2 linked regions of the Oryzias latipes genome follow. The protein of the gene in region 1 interacts with the protein of each later gene in a biochemical or structural test. Links are inferred from orthologs where the notes say so. Each region holds a gene or a part of one and is shown in the gene's direction. Other genes may lie near its edges.

The links.
Region 2: the proteins of rapgef2 (region 1) and ras-related protein Rap-1A form a complex in vitro, tested with the Homo sapiens proteins (2 studies listed by BioGRID and IntAct, with this or other methods). The link is inferred for Oryzias latipes from reciprocal best matches to the Homo sapiens genes RAPGEF2 and RAP1A.

What each region holds. Positions count from the first base shown.
Region 1 is NC_019868.2:1,036,245-1,039,816, reverse strand, and holds part of rapgef2 (rap guanine nucleotide exchange factor 2), read left to right. Parts: coding exon 1-100; intron 101-286; coding exon 287-444; intron 445-577; coding exon 578-592; intron 593-822; coding exon 823-1,063; intron 1,064-1,200; coding exon 1,201-1,584; intron 1,585-1,673; coding exon 1,674-1,885; intron 1,886-2,268; coding exon 2,269-2,392; intron 2,393-2,718; coding exon 2,719-2,742; intron 2,743-3,524; coding exon 3,525-3,572. UniProt on the Homo sapiens protein: Functions as a guanine nucleotide exchange factor (GEF), which activates Rap and Ras family of small GTPases by exchanging bound GDP for free GTP in a cAMP-dependent manner.
Region 2 is NC_019863.2:11,459,422-11,462,993, forward strand, and holds part of ras-related protein Rap-1A, read left to right. Parts: intron 1-2,458; coding exon 2,459-2,602; intron 2,603-2,958; coding exon 2,959-3,048; 3' UTR 3,049-3,085; intron 3,086-3,572. UniProt on the Homo sapiens protein: Counteracts the mitogenic function of Ras, at least partly because it can interact with Ras GAPs and RAF in a competitive manner. Together with ITGB1BP1, regulates KRIT1 localization to microtubules and membranes.

The sequences.
Region 1 (3,572 bases):
CCAGCAAGAAGGCCAAAGCCAACACGGTCGGAGGACGCAACAAGTTAAAGAAGATCTTTGACAAGACGCTCACCAGCATCCTGCCTCCCAAACCATACAAGTAAAGCCCTTTGTGATTCTAAAGCACCCTAAGCACCCAGCTGATACAGGTCACCCCCACAGTTGATACTATTCATTTACTTCAGTTCAGCCGCTGAATGTCTTCTGTTCTGTCAAATGCAGACATCACCCTCTGCCTCCTGTTAACAGAACTTCTCCTTGGTGCCTGTTCTTCCTGTTTCCATAGCGACGTTTGCGTGGGCCAATCACAGGATGACAGCATACTGGGGATGAAGCAGTCCAAGCAGATCCCACCCGCGCTGCCGGTCAGTGGAAACTTGTCGTCCTCAAACCCAGACCTCCTGCAGTCGCACCACCGCATCCTGGACTTCAACAACCAGCCTGGTGGGTTTCTCCTGCTGAAAGGAAGGAAGCGAGTGGTTGATCAGATAGAGCTGCATAGAGAAGGAATGCTGTGGAGGAGAAACAGAAAGGGTTTCCCTACACTGACCTGTCTTCCTCGTGTTCTGTGTTTCAGTACCGGTCCTTCTGAGTGAGTACTTTGGTGCTGTGTGCTCGCAGCTGTCTCATGCAGCCTGCAGGGTGGCGCTTTTGATCACAGGGGCAATGTTGGGAGGCCTTGGGGGTGTTTTTAATTAAAGTTTAAGCTTCGAGTTCAGCCCAAATCGCTGGTGTGGGGTGTTTTCTAATCCAACCATTCATGTGAACAGTGATCAAACATAGTTCAGCGTCTGTGCTGACGGGCCTGCTTTCCCTCTGCAGACATGTCAGACCAAGTGCTGCGGGTTTTCAAGGCAGACCAGCAGTCGCGGTACATCATGATCGGAAAGGACACCACGGCTAAGGAGGTGGTGGTCCAGGCCATCAGGGAGTTCGCTCTGACTGCAGCCCCGGAGGCGTACTCGCTGTGTGAGGTGTCTGTCACTCCGGAGGGGGTCATTAAGCAGCGCCGCTTACCTGACCAACTTTCAAAACTGGCTGACAGGATTCAGCTGAGCGGCAGGTAATCCCATCCGTGCCGGCACATCACTGCTCACAATCACTTCAGATTTTTAAAACCTGCTAGCTCTGCCAAACCTTAGCCACATGAAATGGATTCTGAAACACCCCAAACTTCTGTTGTACCCCCCCCTCCATCAGATACTACCTGAAAAGCAACATGGAGACGGAGACATTATGCTCGGACGAGGATGCCCAGGACCTCCTACGAGAAGGCCAGATCTCCCTGCTGCAGCTCAGCACTGTGGAAGTGGCCACGCAGCTCTCCATGCGAGCTTTTGAGTTGTTCTGCGCCATCGAGCCCACCGAGTACATCGATGACCTGTTCAAGCGGCGCTCAAAGACGGGTTCTGCCAGCCTGAAGCGCTTCGAGGAGGCCATCAACCACGAGACCTTCTGGGTGGCCTCAGAGGTGACGCGGGAGCCTAACCAGCTCAAGCGGATGAAGATCATCAAGCATTTCATCAAGATTGCCCTACACTGTCGAGAGTGTAAGAACTTCAGCTCCATGTTTGCCATCATCAGGTGAGTCTGGCGGCCTCACGCCTTTGTCTTCTGTTCTCTGCCAACGTTCCTGAACGTGAGAAGGACTGCTGTCTGTCCTCTCCCCACAGTGGCTTGAACTTAGCTCCAGTCTCCAGACTGAGGGGAACATGGGAGAAACTACCCAGCAAGTATGAGAAGCTGTTTGGGGACCTGCAGGACCTTTTTGACCCGTCTAGGAATATGGCCAAGTACCGCAACGTTCTGAACAACCAGAACCTCCAGCCACCAATCATCCCTCTGTTCCCAGTCATCAAGAAGGACCTGACCTTCCTGCATGAAGGTAGAAAACACAAAAACTGAGCTCGACGCAGGCTGACAGAGCGGCGTTCACAGCCGTGCTGTCTGTGTCTAGTTCCACTGATGGAAGCATGAGCATCAGCATGTCTGCCAGCATTCTGAAGAGGAGACGTTTGCAGAAGAGCAGCTTCTCTTTTCTATCTTCAGGGTGCTTCTTTCATGTCTTCACAAACAAACTACTATCTTTCCCAATCTTTAAAGTAAAAGTCACATTTTGGCTGAGGGAAATCAGGGTCCAGCTGAGTGGAGCTGCCTTTTCTCTCAGCCCCCCAGAGTGGACTTTCATGCTGTTGTCTGAGCTGTTGTCTGAGCTGCAGTTTGATGTTTGGAGCTGATAAGATTCACGTTTACCTCTCAATCCAACAGGCAACGACTCTAAAGTGGACGGCCTGGTGAACTTTGAGAAGCTGAGGATGATTGCTAAAGAAATCCGCCACGTGGGTCGGATGGCGTCTGTTAACATGGACCCGGCGCTTATGTTTCGGACCAGGTGAGGTCCTGGTTCCATGCGTTTAACGAGTGAGGTCAGCCAGTCCTGTCCCGTTTCTGCACCCCGCTCCTTCCCGAGCTCCAGACATGGAGACGCGCTCGGAGCTCCTGCAGGAGCGTCTTCTGTCCAGTGATGTCCGCTCCGTAGTGTCACTGTTCGATCCCCTTTCTGCTGATTTTCACGTGGTTCTTTGGTGAAATTGGTTCTCTTTGGTGATCTTGGTGGTCTTTTCTGTCCTAAGCTGTGTCTACTCTCTTTTCTTTCTGCTCATACACCCTTTGACCCCTCCCTCCCACGCTTCTTTGTCCATGGCACCCATCCTTTAGGAAGAAGAAATGGAGAAGTTTAGGGTAAGTTGGTGACACTTTGCACTGCTGCACAGCAGCCTGTCCTCCTAAGCATGTGCTCCCTCCGGCTCTCCTGACGCCTCCCTTTTGTGTACCAGTTTGGGTTGAACTGTCCCACTAACCTGCCTGTCACTAACCTGAACATGACGAATCAAAGCGGCATTTGCAGACCAGCAGCGTGCACACATGCGTCAGAGCATGCAGCCTCCTTCAGACCTTCACCTGTCCTCCGGCTTTGGTCGGCCTGTCAGAAAAACATTCTTTATTCCTGCTTTACATTCTTGTGGTCACGTGGAAGACGCTGCATACCAAACCTGTAATGGGAAGCACCGTGCAGCTACCTGGAAAGAACCCAAACATTTCTGTTCTGAACTTTCAGATCCTTTTTCACGTAGAACATTCATGTTTTACAGCCATTTTACTCATTATGGAGTCGATTACATCTGAGATTTACATAATATGTCTGAATGACATAATCATGAAAACAAGGGTATTTCTAGCTGAAGCTGTCCCCCCATCAGTCCTCTGATGATAGACTGAAACCACATGTTACTTAACTTCAAACTCTCATGACTGAGTCAGGCCACAGAAATGTAAACTGAGAGTACCACGCCCCCCTGCTCCTCTGCTATTGGATAAACTCTCCTCCCTCTGCTGCCTGGAATGTGTGGAATGAGTAGAAAAAACTTGCATGTCCCAGTCCCCCCCCCCCCCCCCCCCAGTGTTTATTGCAGTGCATTTATTAAGTACATGTCTGTCCTCTGCCGTCCATGTGCCCTCATCAGGTCTCTCAGTCAGGGTAGTGCCAACGCGGCTGTGCTGGATGTCAATCA
Region 2 (3,572 bases), on another chromosome or scaffold:
TTTTTGTGGGACCTCCTCCTAAATGTAAATGACATTTTAATTCAATCTAATGAAAATGGGGATTCTTTAATTACGGTAATGCTTCCTTATGTCCTGCTGACAAACCTTATTTTTCCCCCATCTCTGCATTCCTGTCTTTCCATCCTTGTTTCTTGTCCCGGCTTGGCTGAGTGCTCGTGCTTGCAGTGCACTCCATTGCTTTGCTAGCAGCCCATACAGAAGTGTTGCTCAGCAGTTCAGTGAAGGATTGTTTGGATATCAAACATCAAGCAGGCACCTCTGTAGGCTCACTGTATACACGTCTGTTTCCTGTCACGATTCTCAAATGCAGGAATGCAGAGAGAAAACTTTTCTAGAAATGTATTCTATGCTTTTTTTGTCTCAAAGACAGTAATCGCTTAACAAAAAAACAAGTGTTTTTTTAATCAACAAGACAATCCTAGATATAACTTCTGGAAGAGAAGAAGGTAATAAAGATGCGACTTTCTGAGCGTAAATTCATGTTTTTTTTCTACTGGAGGCCAACCACAAATAGATTTCTCCTGGCTGATATTTTATTGATGGCTGTTGTGCTGTAAAAGTTTCCATTAGGTAATTGTTTGTTTGTTGGAGGCCAGTGGCAAAAATGGAAACGTCTTGTGAACTGTGACAAACATTGATGCCTCGCTTCTTTTACCCCCCCTCCTCACATTTCCCAAGTAAACTAAACTGTTAAACACACAAAAATGTCACACACTGCACAATCACACACCATCATCTAATTCCACTGAGCAGCTGAAGCATGGAATACAGCTGAAATGTTGGAGAACATTCAGGAAGGAAAGCAATGTTATCCCGGCTGGGCGGGGCCGCCATGACTTCCTACGAGCCAGCATTCTCCCAAGATAGTTAGTCAGGAAACGGCAGACAGGATGAGACGCATCCCGACAACCCTCACTGCTCTGTGTTTGCAGATTGTAATAGGGAAGCCCTAAACTGGACTAAAGGTTTCCGTCCTGCTCCACCTTTTTATTTGTCCTGCTTCTTACTGTAAACGTGTTAATAAACAAAAGGAGAAGTGCTGTCTGTTTAAAGAGATCCAGTAACCACAGATCAGCACTCTGTCAGCTTTCTTTAGAAACGTCTCTATTAAAGACAAACCAAAGTTTTCTCAGCAGTTTCTGGTCATTTTTGATTAGTCAGCTGGTAATTTTACATTTTATAAGCCTTCTCTAACTGTCTGCCTTTTGTCACACCATTGGAGTTGATAGGATGGATAGAAAGCCCCTTTGCTGTCCTGGAGGAAGCATGTGGCAGATCAGTCTAAACTTGTTCAGTTTCCAGTTGCATGTAGCTACGTATGTCTTTTGGATGGCTGAAAGCTGTAAAAAAAAAAAAAAAGGTTTTCCATTTGTGTGGAATGTATGTGATTGAATGTCACGTCGACAGAATCTCATTCTAAGGTGAAAAGTTTGAACAGTGACTTGTTAGCTTTGATAAAAAGACAAGACTTGAAAGATTCTGTGCAGCAGTTTCACCTTCAAATCTTATGGAGGCCTCTTCATCACTTCATGTATTCAGCTTTCTGTCTGACATTTAAGAATGCCTAAACAAAATAGGAAAAGTTTGTGTTCTGTCCTTTGCACAGCTGGGTATGCCACTCCCTGTTTTTGTTCCATAATATTAAAATGATTGTGGAAATTTGTATTGTGATGAGTTGATTCGGGGTTAAAGCAGATATGGTTTTCTTTTTTTCTTCATTTTTGAATCCCTTATTGATCCTCATGCATACCTGGAATACATTATAATTGTTTTTATTCATTCTGTTTTTTCTTTTTTCTTCATTAGAATATTTTTTAAGACTTTAAAGTGTAAGACAGCTGAAAAAGGGAAACCTTTGACCCTCTGGGAAAATGGGTCTCCCTTGTGACACAGACCTGCCAGTTCTATTTTCTCTAAGTGCTAAAGAAGCTTTAGCAAAGTCTGCTCCCATCCAGGTTGGAGCGGGGCTTTTTTCTGCACTAGTCAGGGTTAAATGAAGATTAACATGGATGACGTTGTTGTGGGTGTTTAGTCAGTTATCGACTAGTAAAGTTTTATCATTAAATGGTAAACTACTTTCAGGATTTAAGTCGTCCCATAACATGTGGTCTTTTGCCTTGAACTGCAGTCACAGATGGATGTTTGGGCTGTTTTCATGCTTAGCATATGTTGGATGAGAGCCTGGACTAACACATGCAGAACAGAGTAACTATGAAAAACCCATAATGTCATAACAATCCGATGAAAGACTTGGGTTTACCTATGTTAGATTAATGCAATCCAAACAACCTTCAGTGAAGATGATGTAATGTGCTTGAAACACTCTCTGTTTGCTGAAACAGTTCAGTGCACCGATAGTTTTTAGGCTAACAAAGTAAAAAAAAAAAGATTAACATGCAGTCTTGCCTGTTTTCTACTGTTTTTTTTGTTGTTGCAGGTGCCGATGATCCTGGTAGGGAACAAGTGTGACTTAGAAGATGAGCGTGTGGTGGGGAAGGAGCAGGGCCAGAACCTGGCCAGACAGTGGAACAACTGTGCCTTTTTAGAGTCATCTGCTAAGTCAAAGATCAACGTCCTTGATGTGAGTCCACTTAAAAGCACGAACCTGGAGGTCCAAATCATTGAAAAGCAGGCAAATGCTTCAGGAGTTGTTGCAATCACCTTTTTTTTATTTTTTAATTAAAGTCCTTAAATCATGGATGGACTAAATTACAGATTCCCTTGCTTTTCCTCCCTCTATAGCCCCAAATATTTTGTTTTTATATCCCTGTTATTACTGTAGTAATGCTTTTGTCTACATTTTTACAAGTCAAAGGAAATGTAGGGATTGTTAGAATTTTCCCCCAGCCTAGAGTTTTTCTTCAGTGTAATTTTTCCACCATGCTTTCTAGATGAATTGGAATGCTTGAACATGTCCTTGTTTGTTTGACGCTCTAGATCTTCTATGACCTGGTAAGGCAGATAAATAGGAAAACGCCCGTGGAAAAAAAGAAGGCAAAAAAGAAATCCAACTGTGTCCTGCTTTAAACACCCCCCTCCAACCCCAGCAGCAGATCTGAGCCAGGTGAGTGCGGGCTTAGATTGTGTAACGGTTTATCAACAACACTCAAAAGAGCCCCCCCTGTAGAGATTAAAAGGGAACAGCAGAGTTTTTAAGGCAGCGTAACTTAGTCGATGATCTTATCTGAACCTGATTTATCCGATCTACAGATCCACACATTCAGGAACGCGTGAATTTAATAGACGGTTGCACTTCTATATCTAGTCTGCCAGTACATTTTCTTTTTTTATGACATGTTTAACACATTCTTAAAATGTGCACAGAGGCCAAGAAAGCCTTTTTTTTTTAGCCTTTTTAATTTTAAACACTCATGTGTTTTCTGCAATTATAATGTTTGAACCTCATCAAGTTCCAGCAGCTTCAAATATCTGAGGAAATCTTGGTCCATCCTTGCAGTTTCTCAGAAGTCAGAGGAGCTATAAATACTCTCTAACTAGACTTTTTTTCATTTCATTACTTCCCTAAAACAGTTCGTAGACATGCTAAAGGA